Struthio camelus: one gene and its partners. The main gene of each other region encodes a partner of the protein of the gene in region 2 in a complex. Links are inferred from orthologs where the notes say so. Each region holds a gene or a part of one and is shown on either strand. Other genes may lie near its edges.

The links.
Region 1: SNW1 (region 2) and SNIP1 share a complex: the UniProt entries of both Homo sapiens proteins name them as parts of the SNARP complex. The link is inferred for Struthio camelus from reciprocal best matches to the Homo sapiens genes SNW1 and SNIP1.
Region 3: SNW1 (region 2) and SNRPG share a complex: the UniProt entries of both Homo sapiens proteins name them as parts of the minor spliceosome. The link is inferred for Struthio camelus from reciprocal best matches to the Homo sapiens genes SNW1 and SNRPG.
Region 4: SNW1 (region 2) and RBM48 share a complex: the UniProt entries of both Homo sapiens proteins name them as parts of the minor spliceosome. The link is inferred for Struthio camelus from reciprocal best matches to the Homo sapiens genes SNW1 and RBM48.

Annotation. Positions count from the first base shown.
Region 1 is NC_090964.1:10,834,244-10,841,351, reverse strand, and holds the start of SNIP1 (smad nuclear-interacting protein 1), read left to right. Parts: upstream 1-4,107; coding exon 4,108-4,292; intron 4,293-4,383; coding exon 4,384-4,483; intron 4,484-5,143; coding exon 5,144-5,727; intron 5,728-6,353; coding exon 6,354-6,621; 3' UTR 6,622-7,108. Other genes in the region: DNALI1 (axonemal dynein light intermediate polypeptide 1), read right to left, coding at 238-273, 2,616-2,780, 3,054-3,232, 3,419-3,588, 3,664-3,875. UniProt on the Homo sapiens protein: Required for pre-mRNA splicing as component of the spliceosome. As a component of the minor spliceosome, involved in the splicing of U12-type introns in pre-mRNAs. Down-regulates NF-kappa-B signaling by competing with RELA for CREBBP/EP300 binding.
Region 2 is NC_090946.1:59,329,820-59,337,647, forward strand, and holds the start of SNW1 (SNW domain-containing protein 1), read right to left. Parts: upstream 3,013-7,828; 5' UTR 2,933-3,012; coding exon 2,919-2,932; exon of another isoform or gene 2,665-2,918; intron 2,523-2,664; exon of another isoform or gene 2,506-2,522; intron 1,860-2,505; coding exon 1,706-1,859; intron 1-1,705. Other genes in the region: ADCK1 (aarF domain-containing protein kinase 1), read left to right, coding at 3,175-3,207. UniProt on the Homo sapiens protein: Involved in pre-mRNA splicing as component of the spliceosome. As a component of the minor spliceosome, involved in the splicing of U12-type introns in pre-mRNAs.
Region 3 is NC_090968.1:3,162,681-3,169,046, forward strand, and holds SNRPG (small nuclear ribonucleoprotein G), read right to left. Parts: upstream 2,041-6,366; 5' UTR 1,921-2,040; coding exon 1,889-1,920; intron 1,649-1,888; coding exon 1,626-1,648; intron 1,254-1,625; coding exon 1,129-1,253; intron 749-1,128; coding exon 698-748; 3' UTR 511-697; downstream 1-510. Other genes in the region: protein FAM136A, read right to left, coding at 3,903-4,091, 4,164-4,304, 5,268-5,354. UniProt on the Homo sapiens protein: Plays a role in pre-mRNA splicing as a core component of the spliceosomal U1, U2, U4 and U5 small nuclear ribonucleoproteins (snRNPs), the building blocks of the spliceosome.
Region 4 is NC_090943.1:27,304,151-27,312,162, reverse strand, and holds the start of RBM48 (RNA-binding protein 48), read right to left. Parts: upstream 3,003-8,012; 5' UTR 2,965-3,002; coding exon 2,854-2,964; intron 1,494-2,853; exon of another isoform or gene 1,375-1,493; intron 929-1,374; coding exon 738-928; intron 612-737; coding exon 466-611; intron 1-465. Other genes in the region: peroxisomal ATPase PEX1, read left to right, coding at 3,314-3,442, 5,432-5,575, 7,508-7,591, 7,836-7,950. UniProt on the Homo sapiens protein: As a component of the minor spliceosome, involved in the splicing of U12-type introns in pre-mRNAs.

The DNA of each region.
Region 1 (7,108 bases), on a different chromosome or scaffold from region 2:
ATATTGCTTTGCAGGTTATGTAGCATATTATCAACAGGTATGTCCCAGATAGGCTCACCATTCAAGGAGCTGAATGTTTAGACAGCACTGAAAGGGAGAATTAATACAACTACACTGCCTTCAGTTACTGGTAAGTGAAAATTCAGGGTTGTTTTATGAAGACAGATCTTTTTCACTAATTGCAAACTTCTTGCTTTGACAGTTCTTTTGAGCGCTGCCGGGAGGACAACAAGAAATCTACTTATTTGGTGCAATGATGCTTTCAAGTTGAGCCTGAAAACAAATGAGACAGTAAGTTAAATTAGCCTTAATCTAAAAAATAAACCCACATTGCTGAAAAGCGATAAATTGTCTGTTATGTATTCAAAGTGAGCAGCTGAGGGATGCTGCAATACTTCAAGAGAAATAGGCTAGGGTTTTTTCCTCTGGTTATTTCATTTCTTACTACATGTTTTATAAATTAACTTTTCATTCTTGGCATGCACACTTGTTGCCTTCTGAGAAGAAAAGAGCTGGCCTTGGTTCCATACAATGAAAGACTCATTTTATAATGTAAAGCATTGAAAAGGAAATTAAATAAAAGCTGTTGAAACAGTGGTCTGAGTTCTCTGATTTCAGGCTAGACTATGTTCGCTAAATTAAATGTTTGGCTCTTTACAGTCTGGAACACAAGCTCTGACTCTGGGACAAAAGGAACTGGGAACAGCAAGTTTTTCAGTTACTGAGACAACTTGATGCCCAATTAGTAGATTGATCAGCGAGCTACCAATGCTTAGGGAGTTTTTGGTATATGAAGCTTCTGGGACTTGCAGATTGTCCTCTTCATATTGCTGCCATCAAAATAAACTCCAGTTTTGGTGTGTGTGTGTGTGTGTGTATATATATATAATATATATATATATAGCTGTTAAAATATTTCTAGTTCAAAGAAGAATAACAGCTTCAGTGGCAACACGTCTTTAATCTAACAGTTATTCCACTTCATGTCCTAAACAGTTCAAGACGGCTTGAAGATGTTAATGGTTTAGACAAGAAAAACAGTAAGAATGTTAAAGATAAGGAAAGCAGCTGAGTGCAAAGTAAACTTCTAGACAGACAGGTTTAATGTTGTTTCTGATTACGTTTTTTCTTTAATCAAAAGCTGATTTTTTTTTCCCCCAACAGCAAAGAAATCTGTCTTTGTCAAACTGAAGGTGTCTTGGCTGCTGAGTAGTAGCATGCACAAAATTACTTCTGTCCTATGCAAATCAATTTCAGTGATCCAGTCAAGAGCACCATAGGACAAATTGCTTCACCATTGTCCATGGTAGCATGTTAGCAACCAACAGGTGAACAGGACACATACTTTTACCTACAATATAGTAATCACACTTTAAATGTTTAGAAGCTTAGAAACCCAGGCAATAGTGTGTGCTTGCCCTTAGGTTTTGCTATTGTCTGTAGCTCGGTTATGTGAGATGTAGATTGGAAGTTTTGAGGAAAATATGACAACAGTGCCACCAAGTTTCCCTGGGGGATTTGATCCTATGGCTAAATAGTTTTATTAGAAAAATGTATAAGAAGTTAAATCCATACTACAAATGCGCACTTGGTTCTCTTGTAACTATTCCAGACTGTACTAAAGTTCACGCTGTCTTTAGATTTGCAACAAATACATCTATTAAAGAGCTTCTCAAACACCTTTCGGGGGTGCCTCTGATCCCTAAATACAAAGAGTAGATCAGTAACTGATAATTCAACGTTTGTTTTCCAGGCCAGGTAGCGTAGTTAAAATCTGCTATAGTAGAGTCTGCCCACTGTATATGAAATAACTGACACCTTATGATGAGGACTAGCATCCGTAAGGGAAGAAAGAGAATGCTACTTCTCCCACAGAGATGAAAATAAAATAACCAAATACATGTTTTAAGGATGTAAGCCACAGATTAGTCTTGTGCCTTTTTTTTTTAGTTGACCTCTCTACCTAGGGTTGGAAAAGTGGTAACTTACCTTGTTTATAAATCAAGGAAAGTGGAATGTTAAATTACAATACATAAGCACAGGGCTTAGGCACCCTCTCAGTGATGCCTGAGCTTTTGGTAGTACAGTGTATCTCATGTAAGCTTTGAGGCAAGGATAAAAGAAAAAAGTCTCTGTTGCATATAATACACAATTGCTCTTATTAGGCAATGTTTAATTTTAAATGGTGTCTCTTCTTATCAGGGAGTAAACTTAGCTGCTCTGGCCAACAGCAAAGAAACAAAACTTTCTTCATTTGTCTTTATTAAGTTTTCTTTTTTGTAGCTGAAAAGGGATGGCAGCTACAACAACCTTAAAATCAAGTTATGCATAAATAGATTCCAGGGGCGTCAAATTTGAAGTCTATATTTGGGGTTCATCTGTGTGCGTCTGCTAACTGACCATAAGGATTTAGCATTATCAGAACAAACTGTGATATCCCTGTGGCAAATTTGTATATAACTAGAGCCCAATGAATCTGACCTGCTGTTTGGATGATCAGTTTTACTCATGATGACTAATTACTGACGGAGCAAGGAAGTAAAGTATGCAGAAGAGCATTTTTCCTATTTCACTGAGAATTCAAAGGTGGAACATGAATACAAATGCATCCTAACCTTCAGCTGCTGATTTGTTCGTTTCAGGAACTGGACCTCTTCACTGTGTTTCTTTTCCTCTATCTGTCGCCTTTCATTTTCACGTTTTTCAATAGCTTCACATTTAGCTTTCTGTTCAGTCACTTGCTTTTCCAGCTCCCGCTTTTCTTCCTCTAGCTCTGCAATCTTGGAAAAGAGTATAGATTGCTCAAATCGTGTTTGTTAATAAGCAATTTCCAATTAAGACAGGTTCAAGTTTTATGTTGTACAGTACAATAGGTAGAACAGATAAATTTATGGAGTACAATTAAGCCCTACAGTAAGGTAAGTATCTTGATGGTCTTTACTGCCATCCAGTGGAAGTAGAAATACCTGATTTTATATAAAATTTTGTACGTGAAATCGTTACGCTTTATCACATGCAGAAAGCTACCTTACGAGGTTGACAGCCCAACTCACTCTTTTCTCCATGTCAGATTTGCCTTGCTCAGCTTGCAGTGCCTTCCGCATGCCGAAGGCAACGCTGCTCTCATACAGAGTCTGATAAGCAGCAATCGTCATTTGGATTTCATCTCGGACTCGAAGCAGCAACAGCCCTCGCTCTGCACAGTTAATCGTCGTTTCGCGGATCAGTTCATCTTTAAACAACAGGCACAAAAGCACAGTTAAGGCAGTAGGTGCGTTGGCTTGGGGAGGCCGGCCCCCCGCGCCGGCCGCCGCTGGCTGCCCGGCAGCCGCAGAGCGCCACGGCTGGCTGTCGGCGGCGCGGCCGGGGCCGGGGCAGAGGGCGAGGCGGCGGCGGCGGCCGGCGCGGCGGCACTGACCGAAGCACTGCGCGTAGAGCTGGCGGCGCACGGGGCACAGGCCGGTCTCCCGCGCCTGCCGCTGCCGCAGCCGCAGGTCCAGCTGCTCCTGCAGGCGCACCACGTCGGCGCGGGTGCTGGGGGCGCCCGACACCTCCTGCACCCAGAGCCGGCCGTCCTCCGCCCACTCCCTGCACCGGAGAGCACGGCCGTCAGCGCCGCCGCCGCCGGGCCGCGCCCGCCCGCCGCCCCTCGCCGCCCCTCACCGCGGCGGCAGGATGGCGTTCAGCACCTCCCGCGCCGGCTCGGCGGCCGCGCCGGGCCGCGGCGGCGGCGGGCGGCCCCCGGTGGGCGGGCGCGGCGGCGGGGCGGGGGCGGAGGCGCCGCCGCCGTCCGCCCGGGGCCCGGGGCGCTCCGCCCGGCGGCTGACCAGCACCGGCGGGTCGTAGCGCAGCAGCGAGTCCGGCGGCGGGATCATGGCGGCCGCTCGCCGCGCGCGCCGCTGTCGCCATGGCGACGGCGCGTCGCGGCGGGGGGGGGGAGCGGGCGGGCGCGCTGCGCGTGCGCGGGAGCCCAGCAGGCTGCGCGCACGCGCAGGAGAAGGGCGGCGCGGCGCCGGCCTCCCCCCACCCGGCCCCGGCGGAAGTACTTCCGGGTGGCGGCGCGCGAGGCGGAAGCGGCCGCACTTCCCTTCGCGCGGCGGCGGCGCCATGGAGGCGGCGGCGGCCGAGCGGCGGCGGGAGCGGCGGCGGCGGGCGGCGGTGAAGGCCGAGAAGCGGAGCCCGCGGCGCTCCGGCTCCCGCTCCCGCTCCGCGCGGGGCAGCCAGTCGCCGCCGGCCGAGGAGCGGCGGGGCCCGGCCGGGCCGCACCGGGGCGGCAGGAGCAGGAGCAGCAGGTAGGGCCGCCCCGGCGGCGGCGTCGCGCCCGGGCCTCGGCCTCCCGCTTTGCTCCCGTGCCCTCACCCCCCCCCCCCACTGTCCTTAAAGGTCGCCCAAAAGGAAGGAGAAAGCGTCGGGCAGGAGAAGCAAGTCCCCCCGGAGCAGGAGGAGCCGGAGCCCCCATCACGTCGCAGTCAAAGTCAAGCAGGTAAATCGCCTCGGTGCTGCCGCCGGGGCCTGACCCTGCCGCGGGTCTGGGGGGCCAGCGCTCCCGGGGAGGCGATGCTAGGGCCCTGTGCGCTGCACTGCCTCCCGGAAAGAGAGAGAGAGAGAGTGAGCCTCCTCTGGCAAAATTCATCCGTGGAAGGCAGGAAAAATAGTTCCTGACTTACTTTCTTTTAGTTGTTGTCATGTCTAATTTAAAAAAAAGTTTTACAGGTTCAATATCTGTTGCTATCCACTTCAAACTCTGTCCTGAGCAATTGAGTGTTCATATGGGCGTGTTGTGAATTTACCACTTGTGCGGACTGTTCCTGCAAGCTGCTTGCTTTGCCCGGAATACTGTTGATATCTGAAAGTCAAGTACAAGCCCCTTTAGCTTTCAGTTGTCTCTTCAAGCATCTTATTCTGTGGAAGGATGGCAGGTCTGTCTCTCTTTTTTAAGCTTGTGTTACTCATTGTAATCGTGGGAATCCAAATAGTTCAGCAAGAAAATAGTTTTTTACTACTTTATGTTAGATCAATACACAAGACTTTTGAGTCCTTGTTTTTCATGTGTTAGATTGTGATTTTTTTTTTCTTTAAAGTAGATTCCTTTCTCTTTTCTTCTAATTCTAAATAGACCACTATAAGAGATTATTCATTACAGGAACGAGATGATCATTGTCACAGAGGAAATGAAGAACGAAAGCAGAGAAACCCATCAGAACAAGAACACAGGCGAGATAGAAGTGGTGAGAGAGAAAGACACAGAGATCACTCGGACAGAAGGAAAAATCCTAATGAAAGGCCTGGAGGCCGAGGCCACGAGCGAGAAAGGGATGTTCAGAACATTCGTGAGCAGCAAGCAGAGAGGGAGTTCTATAATGAGAGAAGACGAGAGCACCGACAAAAGAATGAAGTGAGTGGTATTAACCAGAATCCAGAACTCGGGCAATCTGATAATAAACCTAAAGATCCTGTAAAAAAAGAAAAGCCAAGTTTTGAACTGTCTGGTGCGCTTCTGGAAGATGCCAACACTTTCCGAGGTGTTGTGATTAAGTACAGCGAGCCCCCAGAAGCTCGGATACCAAAGAAACGATGGCGCCTCTATCCTTTTAAAAATGATGAGTTCCTTCCAGTCATGTACATTCACAGACAGAGCGCTTATCTCCTGGGCAGGCATCGCAGAATAGCAGATATTCCTATTGACCATCCCTCCTGCTCAAAGCAACATGCTGTCTTTCAGTATCGGTAAGTATTATTCTCTGTGCCTGCTGGTGAAACAGAAGTATTCTGAAACTTGTATTTATAAACAAACAAACAAAAAAACCCCAAAACAGAGTTTAGAAGTGTTAGTTTGCTGTAAGTGTCTCATGTCAGAGATAGCTGGAATTCACATATGGCTGCTGTACGTTCTCTTAGCAGTAATCAAAAATACTTGAAACTTCTCCCATTTAACCACAAGCAGTCTTCCTGTAAGACAAATAACATAGCAGGACTAAATGCAGAATTGGATGTATATCTGAATTGGAATAAACGCTCTCAGGTGTAATTAGCGGTAAAAATATTTTGCAACCAAGATTGCTGCTATCCTTTTGAAGCAGCAAGGATTGTATGCTGCTGAAGACAGAGCTGCTCTCAAGGAACAGCCATCTGTTCGGTGTTACAAATTACTGTATTATATCACCATAAGTTTTAGAAGGTGATGCAGTCTTTCAGAATCTCATCCCGAGTGCCTCCTTACACTCATTATGCTTGCTTAAATTTTTGAAAATACAGAACGTTTTGAAAACTCCATCTACTTCTAGAGTGGCTGCATAAATGGGAATTTTGTGTCTGTCTTGTTATGATTGAAATAGTGCTTTTTGTTTTGCCAGGCTTGTGGAGTACACCCGTGCTGATGGTACAGTTGGCCGCAGAGTAAGGCCTTATATAATTGACCTTGGTTCTGGCAATGGTACTTTTCTAAATAACCAGCGGATTGAACCTCAACGTTACTATGAACTGAAAGAAAAGGATGTGTTGAAATTTGGGTTCAGTAGCAGGGAATATGTTCTTCTCCATGAATCTTCAGATAAATCTGAGGCAAACACAAAGGACGATGATGAGGAGGAGGACGAGAAGGAGGAAGAGTCTGACAGTTAACAGATCAGGAGGAAATTGGGGGGGTGAAAAAAAATCTTTGCAGTAGAACGTGCATTGGGATGTAAACATTGGCGCATCGAAGCACTGATGCCTCTTATTGCCTTAAAGTCCTTCTTCTGTTGCTGGTCTGTTCTTGTAGCTTATTTTGGGGACTTAATCATCTTGGATAGTTCTGCTTATCAGGAAATTCAGCTTTTTCTAAGCTAATTTCCCCTGACAAAGAAAAAAGAGCACCTGGATGTGAAAGCTGTGGTGCTGGAAATATTCAACAGATGTTGGAAGGCTATCCCCTTCTAGTAAATGATGTAAAACACAGTGGGCATATTTAAAATTATTTTTATGAACTGTTTTGTCATAATCCTTTGAAAATGCTACTTAACTGAAAAATAAGGTAGAAACTAGCTGATATATTTTGTCTTATTTGGTAGGATTTGCCGAATTTGTATGCCTGTTAAGAAATCTAGACAGGAGAATTTACCAAGTTTCA
Region 2 (7,828 bases):
GCACCAGCATCTCCTCCTCTTTCGGCTGCAGTGGCATAGCTTTTGCAGAGCCTGACAGTGAATCAGATCAATGAAAAAGATTGGTTCCATTTTCAGTAGGTTGATCCTCCATCATATTCACCATGTGGACAAGTAGTTTTGCCAGTGCAACACAGAGAGCGGACTGAAGCTGGAGTAAGTGGGCAGAACACCCCTCCACAGCAGCACACGCTCACGGTAGCTTAAAGTGCTCACTGAAATACAGGACCAATTACTGAAGGTCTTCTACCGGATGTCCCACATGCAACAAGTCGTTACAGAATCAATGTTAAAATACTACATGGAACAAAAGTTAGTCATTCCTCAGAACTTTTCAAAGTACTCTAGATCTTCTAAGAATGGATTTTTCCATTGATGCCATCCCAGAATCATGGGACCAAGGTTATGCTTTAGAAACATTTATTACCCTTGAAGAATATGTATTTATCTAGATGGACAAGGGAGTCCTTAACAGCCCTTTTGAGATCTGTATCACTTTGTGGCCCAGTGATGCTGGAAATTGTTTAAAAACCTTGACCTAGTTTTTTAAGAAGTTCTTAGCTAACACTTGGAGAATAATATGCTAACATCAGAAGTAGCGTAGGCAGAAAGTTTAAGTGAATGTAGAGCTCTTAACATTATTAAATGCAGAGCTTACAGAAGAAGTTTGTCTTAAAGGAGCAGTGGAACTATTTGAAGTCACCTTTTTTTAGTGCTAATGGATCACCAAAGTACTGTGTTGGATCCATCTTTAAAAAGATGGTTCCAAACGTAAAGTATTTATGTAAGTAAGGCTGTTATTAGCTCATGAAATGATGGCATTTGTGAACAAGGTTGGATCACAAAACACTGTACCAAAACCTGAACAGTATGCCTTGTCCCAAGAACACTTGCTCATGGCTGATCGTAACAGGTCTCAGACATTGTGTTAAGTACCATTTCAAGTACTGTCTGCAATTTTTTTTTTCCAAATCTGCAATGACAAATCACACCAAAAGATTTTTGTATTCAGTTATACACTTGCATTTTCTATCCAAATTTTCAACTCTTCCAGTTGAAATCACATAAAACAGGCCGGGATCACAGCTAATTACCATCCACGATTACCATCCAAGACCCTTCTGCCAGTAACACACTTTAACAATGACAAATTTTAAAGTTTTCCTCTCAATTCCAACAAGAGTTTCTCCCTCCACACTAGCAGCTACCTCGTGTTACCATAAGAACAGAATACCCATAAGTAGTCTGTTCTCTTATATGTGTGTGTGTGTATATATATATATATATATCTGTTTCCTTATTCCAGCTATAACCTAGATCACGTGTTTAACAAATAACGATGAGGGGAAAACACAGATGTCTTTCTTGGAGCATCCTTGCATTGAGAGACTGTAAACCGACATGGCCATGGAACCATTTCCACATTACTGCATAATAATTTCTAAAGGGAAGAGCCCATACAATATACAGCTTACCATAAAACTTTTTAAGTAACACAGTTAATTACAACAACTTCCCCTGACTCAAGAACATATCCATCAGCTTTGATGGAAGTTCTCCATGTGGTAAGGCTTCACACAATTCTTTGTGCTACATTCAAGATGCTCAGAGTTTATTTCTACTCCAAAAAATACACTTTTTTTCATGAACAGAGACACACTACTACAGTGTGATTGTAAGCATATACCTCCAGCATCCGTGGTATCCATCCTTTCCGGTAACCATACGGGGGAGGTTCTCTTCGTGATGACACTAGAGCAGTTTGCCTCGATCTTTGCGCTCTCGCCCTTTCTTCTAGTTCTAGCTGGTCCTGAGACAGCTGGGTTGGAGCCGGTAAAAAACTGCACATCCATAGATAGCCCAAAATAAAGAGAGACAATTAATTTTGAGAATTTCACTCAACAAAACTCAACTGACACTTGAATCTGTAACTAGACTATTCTTCTTCTCTCTACCATTGATCAATAGAGATTCACGAAACTTGAGCATGGTGCTCATGAAGCACAGAGCAGTAACTTCCAAGTTTAAAGGGGCAAAATCAATTCGTGCTCTGTCAACGTTCTGAAGGATTTCTATAGAACCTGATGTTAAATTCACCCATATTCACATCCTGCCTGAGCAGCAGCATGACAGTGACCATTCTCTAACAAGAGTGTGACAGACCACTATGTATTTTTTTTTCCACTACTACCAATCAGAAAAAAGAAAATACACCCCTAGTCTCAGTGACTCCCCCTTCTCTTCTCTCAAAGCGAACGTCCACAGAGAGATCTATCGACAATCCTCCCCCTTGGCACTAAACCCCTGCCAGCCAAAGTCAAGAACTTGAGCCCCGAATTCTTGACTTCCTACTTTTCAGCTCATCTAGACGGCCTCTTACATGTCTTCAAGGAAGCATCTACCTCCTAAACGGAAGGCGCTCCTGAGCCCACAGAAGTCGCACTCCTGAAGACGGTCAGAGAAACGCAGCAGCTCGTAACAAGGCCCTCCCATCCTCACTAACGGTGAGAAAACCCCCACAGAAATCGCACCGATCCGATCACCTCCAGCCGAGGCCGGGGGCTCCGTCTTCCCGCAGAAGCACGCGAGGCAGGAGCCCCCTCGTCCAGAAGGCGGTGCCCGCACTGCCCAACGCCCCCTCCCGCCAGTACGGGGCAGGCCCCTGCGCCTCCCCCGGCCTGGCCCTCGCCGTCCCCAGGGAGCAGCGACGCTCGACCCACCGCGGCGCGGCCTCGTCGGCCGGCGGGCCCAGCGCCTAGGGAGCCCGCGGCCCGGCAGCGCGAGGTCTGAGCGCGGCCCTCTGCGGCGGCCGGAGCCCCACACAGCGGCCGGGGAGCCGTACGCAGGCAGGAGAGAGAGCAGTTCCCCCGACCCGGGCAAACCGAACCCGCCGGACCCACCTGGTGAGCGCCATCTTGCCGCCTTCGTCGTCTTCTCGGGGCCCAGCGTCTGTGGGGGGTGGGGGTGGGGGGGCGGGGAGCGCGCTTGCGCATGCGCCGCGCGACCCAGTTGCGGCTGGGAGTTGTAGTCTCAGAGCTCCGCAATCGGAGGCGGGGCGGGGTCCCCCGCCTCCAGGCGCATGCGCGCATGGCGCAGTGCTTGCTGGGAGATGCAGTCCGCCGCCGGCGCGGAGGCGTGTTGGGTCGTGTGGCTGCCATGGCGGCGGTCGGGTTGAGCGGTCTTTCCCAGGTACGGGGCGGCCGTAAGGGCCTTTTTCTTTTTCAGGGCCAGCCTGTAGTGTGCAGGATGGTGGAGGACATCTCCATCTGTGCACGCTGGTCTCTAGGCCGCTGCTGGGCTTGGTGTGGGTCACTAAACACTGCAGCCACATTGGGGCCTGGGACCTGATGTGCGATGCCAGGCGCAAATCTGCTACCTGACAGCCCCAGTCTGATGAAATCCCCCCAGCCTCAGTCGACGGTGTCTCTCGTAGTGCCTATCTTTACCCCTTCGATACCTCCCAAGGCATTGCTGGTCTCTGCAAACTGAAACAGAAGAGTTGGACCCAGCAGCAATGGCACAATCCCAGAAAAGCTGCTTCAGCAGGTTTGATACAGTTGTCTTCGTTGAAATTGCAAAGAAAAAAAAGGAGGGAAGCCTGGTACAAAGGCCCCTTTTTTAGACATCCTGTCTATAAATATAGTTTCCAACAACTTCAGTAACTTAATGGTTCATCCAGCTGAAGGATGAGGTATCCTAGTAAAAGGTAGAAAATACAGTGCAAATGGCATTGCAATAGAATTTCTTGATCTGATATCTGGTACTTAGGCATCACTGAGTAGGACATGAGAGAAAAAGGAGAGAGAGAGATGAAAACTGGTATATAAATAACTTGAGTTAAAATAAAAGCTTTTGCATTAAATGTCAGATGCTGTGTACATGTAATGGGCGTATGTTCAAATGTTACATAGTGTTTTTTTAAATGAAGCTTCTAAAACACCTCAAGAGATGTAGTTTTTAGGATATAGTTAAAATGTGAAATAGGGAAAAATATTAGCCAGGAAGTTGTAGTAACTGGAGACTAGATGGAGCTTTAAACGGATAAGGTGCCGCTAGTGCTGAAGTGGCAGTATTTAGTGCCATATAGGACAATAAATTTAGTTGCCGATTAATAACTGCTACTATTGTGTTACCATCTTGTGAAGTATGGTGAGGATCATGCCCACTTTGCCTGGCATGGTTCATCTAGAAGAGACACACAAGCCGACTAGAGAAGAAAAGGGTAGAATGTATAAGAAGCAAACATATTCCTATTACAAATAAATAAATAAAAACTTTCCGTGCAGTAAGAGGCAGGAAGACTATAAAAGAGACAAAACTCCTGTAGACTAAATTCATCTGTTAGAATTTCTAGGCTGAGTGAGATTTGGAGGATTGTAAGGGCAGTTCTGTTGTAGTCCTTCTATGCCAAAATTCTCATTGACTTCAGTGGAAATCTGACTTCGGGTTTGCATTGTGCTGACAGCAGCTGTGTCATCAGCTCTATGAATGACATATTTTCCCTTCTCTTGGAGAAAACTGTCCTCTTCTGAGTACATCAAACAAAGCTAAAGATACAAGATTTTGACATATATTGTTTATCAATAGTTGTGCTAAGCAAAGCTCCTCTGTCATCTCTTGTATCCATTTCCTTCACTTGTTTAGGAACTGAATTGCTGTTGTCACATCCAGCAGTATTGCCCCCAGATTAAAGAGCATTCTGTCACCATATGAAGTTGCCATTGTCTCTATCTCCCACTGTGATACTAGCCTCAACTGAAAAAATGTCTATTCTCTGTCTTACTGCTATGTTTCTCCTCCTTCCTTTGCTGTGACGTTTTATTTAATGCTGTATGGTAGTTGTACAAGTTTGTGAACTATTTTGCAACACAGTTTTTATGACAGTCACTACAGAAAATTGTTGTTCAGAAGGTAAAATTGTACCTGAGCAATCTGGTTCAGCTCCAACACTTGAGAGATGTTCCATTGGTTTCCTCACGCTCACTGCTTGCTTGTTCTTATAATTATTCTTTTTTTTTTCTCTCTCTTTGCAGACAATAAGCTGTTTGTGTTTGGAGATGTTTATAGCTGTCTGGCTGTAAGACCAGTTCTGTTGAATAATTTTTACGGTTCAATTTTGCGGTTTACTTTTGATGTGTGAGTTGGCTAATTTAGAGTTTGTGAATATGTAAGGCTCTTAACGCTGGGTAGAGTGGACCATATGGTGTGAAGGGGCTCCACAAGCTTATTCCAGACCGTATGGCTTTGTAAATGTATCTCAGTCTGTTTTAGGCACCTACTGCTTATCCAGCTGTGGGTAACTACTTGTCCCTGTCCTGGGGTACATGCAGAATATCAAACCTAGAAAACGCTTACATTTAACTTGTCAAAAATGTTTGCTGGGATAAACAAAAATAAATTCTTGAGAAGTTTAGAACTCAAAAATGAGGGAAGTTTGGAAAAGTCAACATATTTTCTTTCAACTTTTTCAAAATGAAACATTTAAACCCTGGTTTAAAACAACGTTGGCCAAGTTTAGCCTACTGTATTTTTTAAAGTAGGAAAATTCTTAAAACCAGAATGTTTAATTTCTAGTCTAGTAAAACTTCTTTTCATTTAGAACAGGATTTTTTTTTCATTTTTCTCTTGAAGTGGGATAATGATTTAATTCATATATTGGGTTAGCCACAAGACCAAAAAAATTAATTCGTACAGTTGTCCTTGGACCTGATCTGGTGCACCTTCCATTACTTCTGCCTACCACGACATTTTTTAGCGCTGTGCAACACTTGAAGATGTATGCTACATGGGTGGAGAACTGGCTGGCATTTCAAAAAGCAAAAGATCATCAGTGGGGGATCAACACTGAATAACGGTATTTCTGAGGATGGGATACTAGGACTTACACGAGTCAACATTTTCATCAGCGATCTGGCAGTCAATACGAAATCACTTCAAAAAGTCTTTAGCTCTCTCACAGAGTGGCAAAATGTTCAGTAACGCTGAGAGGAGAGTCATACTAGATTACATGGTAGATGTGATCCATTCAGACAAAATGTGTTTTAATATCGCATGGTGCAAACTTCTTTATCTGGAAGTAAGAAATGAGGGGTTAAGTACAGACTGTACTATCCTGGAAAAGAGAGCTTCTGAAAAGGATCTAGAATGGTCATGTCAGAGAAGCAGCTCAACATGAATTTGTTGTGCAATGAAGTAACAAAAAGTCCAGTGCGCCCCAGGGATGTTTAAGTAGGGGCAGAGCAAATTCTAGGGCCACTATATATTGTCCTGGTGACCACATTTTTAAAATAGTGCTTGAAAATTGAGGAGGGTTGGAAACTACAGGGATAACTTAAGGCTAGCATAAATTAGAAGTGTAGGGCAAATACAATAAGTGCACTTGTTTTGTGGTTAGCTCTTAAGAGGTAAATGCTGTACCGCCAAATTAGGAGAGGGTGAGCTCCATCTATCTGTGTTTATTGTCAATTACATTAAGAAGGGAATTGATTCTGAGTAAGCAAATTACAACTTTTAGTATGTTTTGCTTATTACAAAAAGACTGAGAAGAGATTGATCATCATGCATATGTACTTTTACAAGTTAAAACTACAAGATCTGAAAGTACTCTAATCTGTTAGAGAAAGGCATAACAAGAACCAGTAACTGGAGGCTGGAATTGCAGAAATTCAAATGAGAAATTAGGCAGAAATATTTAACAATGAGAATGATTAACCTTTGGAACGGCATGGAAAGTACTCACTTCTAGTGCTGTCTAGTGTTATCTTCTAGTTAAAGCTGAAAGTCTTTAGGGAACAGACATTTTCATCATTACAAGGTCTTCTTTAGGCCAGCCTGAACTCTCAGAGCCAATATAGAAATAATCAGTTGAAACGTCATGTTTCAGGAACGTCTTCACAGATCTCCTAGTTCTGGAGTTTTTTTGAACCAGACCTGGTAACTGTTCAAAGATGGCAGCTCTAGCAGAGGTCTCATAACAAGAAACATTTATGCAAGGAATGGTTCTGAAATCCTTAGATCTGTTTCCCCCAACTATAAACCAGTCTCTAAGAAAGAAGGATGAGTTCCTTTTTGTTTTTACCATGATCTTTTTTGCTTAACATTACTAGACAGCAAGCTATAAGGTCTCCACATACATCACTTTTCAGAAGTACACCACAATGGTCCTCCATATGGTGAGTAAGGAGCTGAGGCTCTAAGGTATATTGGCGTGGCTGCCAGCAGGGACATCTTAATTTGATGCGAATACCACAATTGGCTTTGAAATACCACAATTGGCTTTGAAAACACTTACTTTTGTGTATATTTCTGCTGCATTGCAGGAGTCTTTTGGGGTGGATTTAGGCTATTAAATCCTCGACACCTTTTTTCTCTACCTCAGCACTTTTCACATTTGCAAATGCAGAGTTAAATGTTTCATGAAATATCTTGTAACAAATGAAGATGAAAATACAAAGTAATGAAATAAGCTATTGTTGATATCAGATATTGGTATGCCTGACAGTCACTGCACATTGTGGGATAAAAATGATCGAATTAAATGGCATTCCTCAACTCAGGGGAAAAATAATGCCACAGGTAAGATGCTAAACAGTGAGAAAGAAGAGATTTATCTAGGTGGAAAGGTTCAGCCACATCAGCAACCCCTGCACTGCACATTCCCTTAGGGGTTACAGGCAGCATTCAAAAGGAATAATTATAGCTGGGGAAAAAAGATCAGAAGGTTTATTAGTGTTTCAGCAAAAATCTTTAAATTCTTCAAGCCATACCTATATTATCTGGAAGGACTGAAAGGGAGGCTGGTTTAATTTGT
Region 3 (6,366 bases), on a different chromosome or scaffold from region 2:
TAGTGCTCCTTTTGCAGCACTTAATGTCTAAATTATGTGTGGCGCTATTACTAGACTCGCCATAAGCTCTAGTCTTGTTTGAATGCTTTAAACCTTCTACAAGTGTACCAGTACTACAGAGCCCCATGCTTTGCTCAGTCTACTCTACCCCTTGCACTGCACGGGGCAACTGAAATAACCCAAAATAGCAATACCTCACATCGGGGTTGCAGATCGTAGTCAAGTTGCTGTCACAAATATTTTAATAAGACAAATGCTCCAGCCCTTGCCACTACACTGATAGTGTAAAAGAAGCCTAATAGCCTGCTTGCCACAAGAGGGCAGAGGAATACAGGACCAAAATTAATGCCAATATTGTGAAACTGTGCGTGTCACCTGCTGCAAGGACAAGCCTATTTTCCACCCGCTTGAAGAAAGCAAGCCCCCGGAAGTTTTTCAGAGTTTTAAGGCTATCAAATAATAATAAATCTGTTGCGCTAGCAGCATAACAACAGGTACAACTCACTCAAGTTACTTCAACCATTACAAAATTTATTTAACAAAAAATAAGTTTACACAAGTGATGTATGGTTTGTAGAGGATTTAACTGAGTACACAAAATAGTAGAGTTAGGTCCCATCACAGCCCAACATGCTGCACACACACAGGGGTCATCCCACATGTTGCACACACTGTCACTAAGCGGGTTTCACTGGTTCTATACTCGTTCCAAGGCTTCTAACATAATGATGCTGTTTCCTCGTATTACCTAAAAAGAAAAGTTCACAGCAGCCAGTGAGATGAAGCCCATCGGTAAACACAGCTCTGTAACACTGCAGATTCCCCCCTGCCCCATCCAAATTTGTCCTCCTAGAAGACTGCACAGTAGATGCTGCTCCAAAGTTGAAATTAAAATGCATTTCCCTACAAAGGAAAACTACAACTAATTTTAACTCTAAAACACAATGGATTGTTGTGTGCAAATACATCACTTCACAGGCAGTTTACATTACATTTTCCTTACAGCAAGTACATCAACTTCTTAGAACTCAGCTCCTTTAAATACATATATTAGCTGTCTTTGCAGGGCGGTGACAGACCAGGTACCTGTTACTTGTTTCAGCCCTGACAATCCAAACTAGTACTTACCACCATCCCTATGTTGTTCTGCTGTCCTCCTGGTGCCATCTCCACACACTCATCTATGACTAGATTCATGAAGGGATCAAACCCTCGCAATATCCCCTGGACGTGTCGGCCACCGTTTAACTTCACTGAAAGAAATCCAGTAAGCGTGAAGGACGGGACCACCGAACTGCGGCATCTGAGGTGGTTTTGCTCAGGACAGTAGCTCAGAAAGAGCGTGCTGTCATAATAAGAGTTGGGGGGGGGGTTCAATCACAAGCACGAAGAGCATCGCACCCTCACTTAACGCTGCCAGTGTAAGAAAGGGAGCGTAAGAAGCGAGAGGGTGAGAGATAATGCAAGGTAGCAATCTTAAATATATATTATATATATATATATATATATATATATATATATATACACACACACACACCGATTTGGGGGCATAAAAGAGATCGAGGACGCCCGCTGCCGTTAACCTGCCCCCCCCGCCCCGCCGCCCCCCGGAGCCCGGGACTCACGTGACAGCTTCTTGTCCATGAACCTGCAACGACACGGCGGGCGCCGGTCAGCGCGGCGCGGGCGGCCCGCCGCCATGACGCCCCCCACCCCCACCCCGCGCAATGCATGCCGGGAGAGCGGCGGTTGGAGAATAACGGTCGCTCGGGCAGGTAACCGCCGCCGCCCCCCCACATCACCCCCCCCCCCCGTCCCCCACTCACAGTTCCACCTCCCTCCCCCTCCGCCTTCCCGCGCCCCCCCCCCGCCCGGGGCCGGTACCTACTTCTTCAGCTCGGGCGGGTGCGCTTTGCTCATGGCGTCTCCTCAGCGCCGGGGCCACCGTCCGCTCTGCCGCTCGGCGCGCGCCGCCTGACGTCACCGCGCCGCCCCCTCCACCCGCCCCGCGTGACCCGCTCGCCAGCCAATAGCGGCCGCGCCTCCCCCTTCTCCCCGCCCCGCCGCCCCTCGCGCCTCCCCGGAAGGCGACACTCCCCTCCTTCCCCCGTTGCCGAGCGGTTACCGCATTCCCCCGAGCAGAGGCGCAGCAGCTGCGGCACCAAGCGCCGCAGGAGGCCCGGCGGGGACACGCTGGCGGAGGGGCAGAAGTAGCAGGACACCGGAGGGCTCCTGCGGCCGGCCGTCCCCGGAGGCGACGGCGGCACCGGCTTGGGGAACCGGGGGAGGATGCGCGGATACGCGGGTCAATACGGCTAGAGAGGGCGCCACGTGCTCCCGGCGCCGCTGGGCTCCCCACGCGGCCGCGCGCGCCGCTCCGTGCAGCGGCACCAGCAGCGCCGCCCGCCGGGCACACGTACGGGGGGCACCGTGCACGCCGCCGGGATCAGCCCGCACCGTGCACACCCCCGGGGATCAGCCCGCACCGTGCACATGTGCCTGGGTCACCCCATGCCTTGCACACCCCCGGGGATCAGCCCGCACCCTGCACACTCCCGGGGATCAGCCCGCACCCTGCACACCCCCGGGGATCAGCCCGCACCGTGCACATGTGCCTGGGTCACCCCATGCCTTGCACACCCCCGGGGATCAGCCCGCACCCTGCACACCCCCCGGGATCAGCCCGCACCGTGCACATGTGCCTGGGTCACCCCATGCCTTGCACACCCCCGGGGATCAGCCCGCACCGTGCACATGTGCCTGGGTCACCCCATGCCTTGCACACCCCCGGGGATCAGCCCGCACCGTGCACATGTGCCTGGGTCACCCCATGCCTTGCACACCCCCGGGGATCAGCCTGCACCCTGCACACTCCCGGGGATCAGCCTGCACCCTGCGCACCCCCGGGGATCAGCCCGCACCGTGCACACCCCTGGGGATCAGCCCGCACCCTGCACACCCCCCGGGATCAGCCCGCACCGTGCACATGTGCCTGGGTCACCCCATGCCTTGCACACCCCCGGGGATCAGCCTGCACCCTGCACACCCCCGGGGATCACCCCGCACCGTGCACACCCCCGGGGATCAGCCCGCACCCTGCACACCCCCGGGGATCACCCCGCACCCTGCACATGTGCCTGGGTCACCCCATGCCTTGCACACCCCCGGGGATCAGCCTGCACCCTGCACACCCCCGGGGATCATCCTGCACCGTGCACACCCCCGGGGATCAGCCTGCACCCTGCACACCCCCGGGGATCAGCCCGCACCCTGCACATGTGCCTGGGTCACCCCATGCCTTGCACACCCCCAGGGATCAGCCTGCACCCTGCACGCCCCCAGGGATCATCCCACACCCTGCACACCCCCAGGGATCACCCCGCACCCTGCACCTGCCCAGGGATCACCCCGCACCGTGCACCTGCCCAGGGATCGCCTTGCACCCTGCACACCCCCAGGGATCACCCCGCACCCTGCACCCGCCCAGGGATAACCTTGCACCCTGCACACCCCCAGGGATAACCTTGCACCTTGCACGCCCCCAGGGATCACCTTGCACCCTGCACACTCCCAGGGATCACCCTGCACCTTGCACGCCCCCAGGGATCACCTTGCACCCTGCACACTCCCAGGGATAACCTTGCACCTTGCACGCCCCCAGGGATCACCCTGCACTGCACACGCACTCACGCCGGTGTCACCCCGCGCCCTGCGCACGGGCAGCGGTTGCCCCGGGCATGCCGAGCCAGCGACCGCCGGCCGTTCGGCACGGGCACCAGGGGCTCCCTGCTGCCAGCACCCAGAGCGCCACCCGCTGCGGCCCCCCCCGCCACCACGGCGCCGCTGGGGCCCAGCTCTGCACCTCGCCTTTAATAAACGCGGGGCCGCGGCCCGGCCCCCCGCTACTGCTCGAGGGCGGCCAGGCTCTCCTTCATCCTGCGGGCCATGGCGGGCAGGAGGCGCAGGTGCTCGTCCCCGCAGGCGGCCACGCAGGCGTCGAGCTGGGCGCGCGCCCGCGCCTCGGGGCCACCTGCCTCCAGCGCGTCCCGCGCCTTGTCGTTGCAGTGCAGCGTGCAGCGGCCCAGGCGGTCCTGCGCGGGGACAGGGCTGTGAGCGCCGCGCCGTGCCGCCTGCCGCCGCGCCGCCCCCGCCGCCACCCTCACCTGGAAGCGCTCCAGCTCGCCGGTGACGATGGCCTGCGCCTGCGCCAGGGGCGCGTGGCACCGCTCGATGCACTGCTGCACCTGCTGCATGGAGGCCGCGCTGCTCTCGCAGCACCGCGCGCTGCACCGGAACATGGCGCCCTGCGGAGCCGGGGCCGTCAGTGCCCTGCGCGAGTGCCCTGCGCCGCCCCTGCCATGAGCGCGCAGCGAGCCGGCAGGGCCAGCCGGCCTCTGCAAGCTGCTGCCCTCCTGCTGCCGCAGGGCTGCACCGGGTGTGCAGGGAGGCGTGTGCAGCTTGCACAGGGGGTGTGTGCACAGGGTGTGCACAGGAATGCATGGAGCGTGCACAGGGGCTGCACAGGGGGTGCACAGGCACGCATGGAGCGTGCACAGGCGCTGCACAGGCTGTGTGTGCACAGGAATGCATGGAGCGTGCACAGGGGCTGCACAGGGGGTGCGTGCACAGGGTGTGCACAGGCACGCATGGAGCGTGCACAGGCGCTGCACAGGTTGTGTGTGCACAGGAATGCATGGAGCGTGCACAGGGGCTGCACAGGGTGTGCGTGCACAGGGTGTGCACAGGCACGCATGGAGCGTGCACAGGCGCTGCACAGGGTGTGCGTGCACAGGGTGTGCACAGGCACGCATGGAGCGTGCACAGGCGCTGCACAGGGTGTGCGTGCACAGGGTGTGCACAGGCACGCATGGAGCGTGCACAGGCGCTGCACAGGGTGTGCGTGCACAGGGTGTGCACAGGCACGCATGGAGCGTGCACAGGCGCTGCACAGGCTGTCTGTGCATAGGATGTGCACAGGCACACATGGAGCATGCACAGGGGCTGCCCAGGGTGTGCACAGGCACACATGGAGCATGCACGGGGGCTGCCCAGGGTGTGCACAGGCACACACGGTGCTTGCCCAGGGTGTGCACGGGGTGTGCACAGGCACACGTGGAGCGTGCACGGTGCTTGCACAGAGGCTGCACGGAGTGTGCCCGGGGTGTGCTCGCCCGGGGGTGCCCAGGGCCGCGCTGGCGGGGGTGGGGGGGGCGCAGGGGGCGCGGGCCGGGGCCGCGCAGAGCTGCCGCCGCGGGCGCCGCCGGTACCTGCAGGCCGCGGATGCTGTCCCGCTCCAGCCCCTGCACCATGCTCTCCACCGCCGCCTGCACCCGGCCCTGCGCCGCCTCCGCCATGCCCGGCCCGGCCCATCCGCTTCCCGGGTCAGCACCGCCCCCGGCCCGGGCCCCCCCGCGCAGCGCCCAGCGCCGTCGCCACCCGCCGGCCGTGCAGCGCCGAGCACCGCCGGCACCGCCCCAGCCGGCCTCTTGCACCCTGGTTTGGCCGGGATGTTGCATCCCGGATCCGCCGGGCTCTTGCACCCCGGTTTGGCCGGGATGTTGCATCCCGGATCTGCCGGGCTCTTGCACCCCGGTTTGGCCAGGATGTTGCATCCCGGATCCGCCGGGCTCTTGCACCCTGGTTTGGCCAGGATGTTGCATCCCGGATCTGCCGGGCTCTTGCACCCCGGTTTGGCCGGGATCTTGCACCCCGATTTGGCCAGGATGTTGCATCCCAGATCTGCCGGGCTCTTGCACCCCGGTTTGGCCGGGATCTTGCACCCTGGTTTGGCCGGGATGTTGCATCCCGGATCTCCTGGGCTCTCGCACCCCGGTTTGGCCAGGATGTTGCATCCCGGATCTGCCGGGCTCTTGCACCCCGGTTTGGCCAGGATGTTGCATCCCAGATATCCCAGATGCGCCAGCACCTTGCGTCGCACCCCGTGGCAGCTCTCGTGCCCCGGCACCTGCCCCTGCTGCCCCTTTGCAGGCCCCGGCATGGGGGGCACCCGCTGCCCCTCCGGTTGCTGCAGCTTCCAGCCTGGATTTACCTGCCTGGTCCCAGACAGAGGCCACGTGCGGGGCCGGCTCGGCCTCAGCACCCGGTGCCGGGGCCCAGCACCCCGAGTGCCCCGGCGAGCGGGGCTGCGTGGCGGCACGTGCCGGCCGCCCCGTGGCTCCTGCGGCCTGGCCGCCCCTCCCGCCGGACTCCAAAAAAAACCCAACCCCAAACACCTGCAAATAGCACCGCGGGCGGCCGGGACCGCCGGCATGCCGGGGCGCGGGGGCTTCGCGCCGGCGCCGCCGCGGTCGCTCCCCGCTGGCCGACGTGCGGGATCGTGGCGCGCCCGCCCGCTTATTTTTATTG
Region 4 (8,012 bases), on a different chromosome or scaffold from region 2:
AGCCCCACTGCCTGTAAACCCAGTCCATTTTCAGCATTCCTCCAATGCCAACGCATGGCCTAGAGAAGTTTTGTTAAAAGCCTCTGGGTGTGGTCCCCTTACAATACTTTTTCCCTTTTGGTCTGCCTGAATAAGCTGGAACAAGGGTGAAAAGATGACTTCCAATTTCTTGATCAGTGCTGGAAATTTCTGATAACGTTTAGAGTAGAAAATGGAAAGGGAAGGAAACAATGAAGTATTAAAACTTGTGCATTTTTTTTATTTTTGTATCAACCAAAGACTAAAAATTGTTTCAAAAATATACAGCCCTCTAAATGTTGAAAGATGTCCCTGTTCTGCTGCTAGCTTATTTAAAATGAATCTTTAAAACAGTTAAACACAAAATATTTTGTTTTATTGTGGGCACTTCTAACCCACCCACCACTGAAACGATATGTTAGATCTATAGGAAATCTAATTACAAACCTCTCTGATTTGTTGCTTTTGCTATATACTTTCTTCTATCCTGCAACTTCTCCCTCGTTTCTTGGACTGTTTCAAATTCTGGAGCATAGCACACATGCAGCAAGCTACCAAAGAAACTTCGTTCGTCCATTTTTTTCTTGGCCACCCTGAAGGAAATTAAACTGTATTAGCAAAACCAAGACTAGCACTTCAACTGTCTGGAATCTTAACAGATTACAAACAACTAGGGTGTAAAAGAGTAAGAAGAAGGCAGATACTGCCCTATACGGTACCTTGCACATGGCAGTTTTTGGAATTTTATAAGATAAACCTCGGTAAACTGCTCTGCTGGATATTCATCTAGAGCATGATACTCATCAATGGCACCATATAATGCAAATTGTTCAACTAATTCCTTCATGACACCTAACGCAGGAACTCCTTGTATTAGTAAGTAACGAGATTCCAAGTTGATAGTGTAAACCTGAAAGAACAGAACACAGTATTTTAAAGTGTTTATATTCTTACTTTAGTGCAAAAGTAACAATTCCAGGAATTTCCTGTACGTTGTCTGTTGCTCCTCAAATCCTCTCAGAACACTGAAAATCCTCTGCGCTCTATTTAGATTTTGGCAGTAGCAGTAAGCCAGGACCTTAGCAAAAAGGTAAGTGCAGAGTTTTCTGGGACTTCTCCATCACTGAGAGGGACTGAACTCATTCCTGTTACTCAAAAGTAGAATGCAAATTAGAGTCGGCACTTTCTCCACCAGGTCATAAGTTTTATTCAGCAAACAGCAGTACTTCAAGTCCCTAGATTTCCTTGCAAGACTGAATCGTAGCCAATTAGTATGAGGCACTGTCAAAATAAAGAACAAATCCTGTAAAATCTTTACCGATCACAAGGCAGAGAGGCAAAGCAGGCAGAAAATACTTTGATCCCTTTGGGCACATCATGTGTGTACAGAGCTGCCTCTGCTGCAGTGATCAAACAAGATACATTTTTGAGAGACAGATACGTAAATCAGATGCTGAGAGCAGCAATGTTTTCCCTGGCAGGTTAGCAGAAATTCCTTTCTACTTTGCATAATGACTGTAGCAGAACAACACAGGAAGAAAAATCCAAGGGAAGCTCTGACAGCTCAGTCTACGTAGAGCAGGTTGGTTACTGTAAGATTTAAAAAATATACATGAATTCATTCAAAAACATTTAGACTGCATGAGATGCACATCCTTCTCAAAAGCCAGCAAATGCAGGACCAGAGGGAACCAGTCAGGAAATCAGCTCTCAAACCACCGTCATAAAAAGGTACCCTCTCCAAATAGCGTGCAAAAATTGTTCTCGTTGACAACAGCTTATTCCTAGCCGTTCTCCTTCCCAAGTCAGCCCTAAAACATACCTATACTGCACACAGTATGTTAACTACACACGCAAAAAGCAAATGCAGCCTTCTCCAGCCCAGTGTAATGAGAAATTTCAACTATAATGTGTGCCCTTCCCTGAATCTTACCAGGAGCAGATGCGTGTGACTACATAAATACAAGAACAGCCTTGTGCATCTAAGCCCTATTGAGTTCAATGACATTGCGTACCCAACTCTGTTAGCTAATAACTGCAGCATTCAGCTGCAGAAGTCTCTTTACACTCCACTTAATCATTTTTGTATTTTTATGTTTTGCCTAAGACTGGACTACTTGTGCCACATGCATTTCTAACCAATTAATTTACAAGGTACAGTTTTGAGGTTACTAGATTTACTGGACTCACATCCACCAGTTCCTGCTAGTGCCTACTGCTTTTGTGCATAAAAAGGAAACACGCTAAGGCTGCAAACCCTTCAGGGCAGGGGCTACTCATGCTGCACAGCTGTGCGCTCCAGGCACAGCGCAGGACACTGAACGAGCACGGCAGAGGGCCATCAGGATGCGGTAACTGCCAAAGTAGACGGTATGTCTCAAGAACTGGAAGTAAAGTTCTCCAAAGCTCAGCAAAGTTCCTGCTGACTTTGAAAGAGCCGCTTCCTCTCGGCCGACAGGTGAGAAGGCAGGCCGACTTCTGTCAGGGGAGCGCCTCACGCTACGCCCGCCTTCAACCCTACCGGAGCCGGCACACGATGCGCCGCAGCAACACGGCGGAGGAGACGAACCGCAGAAAAGCCCTGAACGGAGACAAGCACCAAGAAGCGACACAAGCACAGCCCGCGAGGTCGGGGCGCTCCTGCCGACGAGCTCACGGGACGCAGGCCCGCCCTCCCCCCACAGCAGCCGCGCCTGCAGCCGCGGCCGCCGCGCCGCGCCGCGCCGCACGGCCGGACCCGCCGGCGCAGCGCCCGCTCCGAGGCGGCCGCGGCCGCAGCCGCCCCGGGGGAGCGCGGACGGCCCGCTCGCACGGCCGGGCCCGCGGCCGCCTCACCTTCACGGCGCGCGGCCTCCGCCCCTCGCGGTACTTGGCGCGCGACTCGCAGGCCCCCAACTGCGCGTGATGCCGGCAAGCATCGCCCAGGGCGCTGCCGGCCGCCGCCATCTTCCCGTCGGTCACTGCGCCCCACGGAGGTCGCTCTAGCCGCTGCCCGAGAGAGTAGCCAATGAGGCAACGGACAGAACAACTGCCTTACTCTCATTGGCTCCGACTAGGTGGAGCTCGACGGCATACGGAAGCCAGACAGAACAAGCTGAAGCCCTCGATAGAGCAACCAATCAGAAAAAGGGAATGAGTATATGCCGCGCTCCCATTGGCTGGCCGTGGGTCATACTATTGCCCCGGGGGGGGGGGGAGGGATCTCGGGGAGGCCTAGGCTGCCCGCCCTCCTCACGGAGCGCTAGGGCGGAGCGGGCGCCCGGCGGCGGTGGCGCCCGGCTGCCCGCCCGCCAGGATGTGGGGCAGCGGCAACCCTGGGGGAGGCGGAGCTGGAGTCGCCGCGGTGACAGTGGTCCTCAGCGGGAGCCGGGACTGCTTCCTGCACCTGCCTCCCGTGCTGGCCTCTCACCTTCGCCTGCAGCAGGTACCGGCTAGGCTCCGCTCGGGGCCTGGGCGAAGGGACTCCTGGGGCGGGGAGGATTGTGGGAGAGCAACCTCTCCTCCCTCCCGGCATCCCGTTGCCATGGCGATACGCAGTCTCCCTCCCCCTCCCCCTCCCCCGGTCCCCATCACTGCTGACGTCACCTCTCCCCTACAAGCTGTGTTGTCGCCATGGTGACAAGGCGCGCGCGCGCCTCCCCCTTCCCCCAGGTGGTTGGAGCCCTTCCCGGAGAGGCAGCGGGAAGCCCCGCCCCCCCCCCCCCCCCCCGGCCTGCCGCTGCCCCAGCCCCAGCGCCGCCGGGGGCCGCCCGCGGCCTTCCCCGCCCCCCGCTGCCCGCGGGCTGTTGCTGCCCCCCTCGTACGGACAAGATCAGGGGTGTGGGAGGCAGTGTTTAAAGTCAGTCAGCCCTGTGGCTTCCCGTAGAAGCGCGTAACTTACGCTTCGTACCGCTGCCGTCCAGTCGGGCCGCTGCCTGCCGTCAGCGTGTCTGGACGGTTCACAGCGTCGTGCCAAGGTTTCTGACCGTGTTGTCATGCGTTCTCCTTGCTAAAACAAAAAAAGGTGGGACTTCGTTATCTCTGAACTTAGTCTTACACCACCTGCATGTTGTCATCTACTTTTCTCTCAGCACTGCCTATTTTTATACCTTTCTTTTGGCAGTAATCCATGCACCAGCATTAACTGAATAACATGTAAATTGGATCTTTCAAGTAGTAGCTAAGATGTTAAATCTGTGCAGAATCATAGTTCTTGGTGTACCTAAATATATGTTTTGCTGTGTAGTTCTGTACAGAAATACTTAATAGGGCTTTGGATGATAGGAGGTATGCGAATCAGTTGCAGGAAGCGTCCCTTATGTTTTTATTAACATCTCACACAGGAAAACACTAGCAAGGCCTGTGAGCATCCATTGTGCCAGGTAAAGAAGTCAATAATTTAAAAATTGTTAACAGAACAGATCACGTATGCAGAAAAAAGACACCATAAGAAGGAGCAGGAGAAAAGGAGAAAATCAGAATGGAGTTTGAGAATGGAGCAGGAACGTGCAATCCTCTTATACCTTCTGCAGACTGGAATGTGCTAACTTGACAAATAATCACATGGAGATTTATGGAATAGCCCATAACATCATGCTAATTTCCTGAGGTCAAGAAAGACGTATCACAACAGCAAAATTATCTAGATTTGTAAGAAGTTACTATTTTTCCTTCAGAGTGCTAAAAGAGAGATTAAAGGGGCATTGGTAAACTGTGGGGATGAACAGGTTCCTGTTACAAAAAATTCAGTGTAAATGTTAGCTTCGTTTTTGCTACAAATCTGCCTTCAGGAGATAGAAACAAGGAGTGCAATTTCTTTACAGTCTTACAGTTTCATCCTGTAGCTAGGGCTTACTTATTCGTATAGTAGTCTGAGCAAAGTCAGTATAACATTTTTTTAAAAATATTTTCCAACTCATGAAAGCACTCTTAGAGTCTGTACTGAATATATTAAAGTGCATGTGAAACTTAATCATATACGTATGTTTTTTTCCCCCCATATGAGAGATAAAAATGTGTAGTTATACATTTCTATGGGATATTTGGTTGGTAGATTATCATGCAGAAAAAGGGGAAGAAGATATACTTAAAATCGACTATAAAAATTGAAAGCTGTTTAAACATTGAAACCAACAAGAAATTCTGTGTTGGAAGCTGTGCAGATAGCTAACACGGAGAAGAATTCTGAGGAAAGTCTTGATGATGAAGTTGAGCAGTCCACCAGAGCCAAAAATTTTCCATTATCATTAATAGAAACACTATAAACATTGTGTATTACAGTTTTGGAATATTCATTAAAATTGGGCAGGTAAAATCCATAAATTATTTTGAATTTCTTTCAGCTCTCTAATCAAATATAAGCTTTAGTTTCAATAAGAGTCATTTTATTTAAGTTGTTTGATACTAATTTATTCTATTTCTCTGAAACTAATAGGGCCAAGCTGTGAAAGTTTCCGGCGGTCATCAGCCTATATTTTTGAGCTGGATGGAAATCAGGCATCGAGGTCACCAGGGTGAAAATATTGCAGAGATTAACAGACAATTAGCAGAGAAACTTGGCATTACCGATGGAGAACAGGTTTGAAATGCAATCTCGCGATCGCTCTCTCTTCCCCCCCCCCCGCCTTTTTTTTTTAAACATGGAATGTATAGCACAAGATCCCTGAAGAGATAATGGTTTACAAGCTAACTATCAACTGGCATCTTGTTTCGTGTGCACTCATCTCCAAGTTACTTTGTTAATATCTGTCTGATGGAAAAAGTTCACCTTCATGAAGCATGTCTCAACCATGAAAAGATTTGTTCATAAAATCATTACAATTACCTAAATGATGTAAGGATAGGCTTGTGGGTAGGTTTTTGCAGGGTTGGAGCCACTCTCTGCAGTGACGTTATTTTTAGGAAAACATAATTTGCAGTTAAATAAGTTGGGAATTCTTTCATTAAAATATTCTGCCTGGAGTTCCTGTCATTGTTAAATAATTATTGACTTGCTCTGTATTTCTTCTTATTTGACTTATATTGGATTTGAATTGTCACCCTCTTATTCTCCCTTCACCCTATAGCCCCATGTCCTCTTTCTTTGAATATTTATTTAAATTGGCCTACTGTTTTCTTACTCTTGGACAGTGTGTTCAACAACTTCTTTAAATGATTCTCTTAGTGTAGAGAAGTTGGATAGATGCCCAGGAGACAGCCAAAGATATGCGTCATGGGACTCTTAACATTTCAGCATCCAAGATTCTTTTATCTTAATAGGTGAAGAGTTAAATCAACAGGAGTAGAAAAGTACTGTTCTGCACGATATTACTGTGTCATATATTCATATATGCGTATTCTATTATGTAGAAAATCTTATTCAACAAAATAAACCACATCAGAGGACATGGCTTGAAGCAGTGTATTACATTAGCATGTTTACTTTTTTACTAGATTTACTAGTTCAGTGGCAAGGTAAGTGGCCTTTTCTGTTCTAACAATTAATAGCCTTCAACAGAAAAAAATAAATAAATCGACAAAAGAAGTTTGAGTAAAACCTTACGTAGCTGTTGTCGGGAAATAATCATCTATACATCATGAACGATTAAGTAGTTTCACCACCTTTTTGACCTCAAAGTACATGTTTGCTGTGTTTCATAGTTATATGCTCTTCTGTTTACCACATTTGGGAAAAGGTATTTCCTCACACCTTTTGCTTCAAACTTGAGGACCCACAGGAATTTAAAATCAATTATTTCAGATCAGTTTTTATAAAAGTAACAAATATGTCTCAGAGGACAGGTAACTAGAGATAGTTTTATCTCAGAAGAAGTTTATTTGAGTTTATTTAAAAATGTATGGCCTTATATTGTTTGAAAATTGTTATTTTCTGAAATAATGAACCTTTGGTAAAATTAACTCTTGAAATATATATTTAAGACTCTTGAAAAGATGTATTTTCCCTAAGCCACAACAGCTTCTATAATTCTTCCTGGTACACAGGACCTTAAAGCTGTTATGTGGAAGTGGGGATGCTTCCTGTGAACCCACTCATTGAAGAACTTGGTTTGGTTTCATTGTGTGTGTGTTTTTTGCTGTTGTTATTGTTTTGTATTTTTTCCTCTTCCATTTCTTCAGCTATTTCTGCCTTATGTAAATTTGTGCACAATTGGATGAATTTTCCTAGAGTGCGGAACCTTTTTTTAAAAAATAATAAAAATCCAAAGAAGCTTGTGTGATCAAAATGCTTTAAAATGGATTGTTTTATATCAGCTGATACAGTTCCTGATGCACTTCTCATTCACTTATGTTCATGGTGCATCAAAGCGCCAAGCATACCCAATGCAATCCATTTCCAATGCACTGAAATTTCATCTTCTGCTAATAAGCTTAGCTAGTGCCATTAAGATAGCGTATATTCAGAGTAATGAAAGCATAACGGAGATGTCTGTTGTCTGGCTGAATTAAAGATGGATTTTTATTTATTAAAAGCAAGGAGTTAAATACTTCAAAATGGTTTTACATTTGTCAGGTATTCCTTGAACCCTGTTCTCATGTCTCTTCCTGTCAGCAAGTAGAAGTGGAACCACTCTCAGCAGATGATTGGGAAATACTGGTAAGAAAACTCTTTTTGTTTTTCACGTCCTCTTCCTTACAGATGACAAAGATGTCAGGTATATGTAGTTTTCAGCACAATCGCTGTCCTTTACCTCCCCGAAGGAAGCAATAAATGTGGTGGGTTTTTCATAGTATTTTGTCTTTCAGATGGTATATTAGAAAGAGACATAGAGTTTTTATCCTCAAACAAATCTTAAATATTTATGAAGGATTTTATTTCTAATGATAGTAAATTTTCATAGGAACTGCACGCCTCCTCTCTTGAAAAACACCTTCTTGACCAAATTCGAATAGTATTTCCAAAAGCCATCTTCCCTGTATGGGTTGAACAGCATACTCACGTTTACATCAGAATTGGTAAGCAACGATGAAGGCTTTTGAGGTGCTTTCAGAGAGCTGTTTTGCAAGAGTGGATGTAT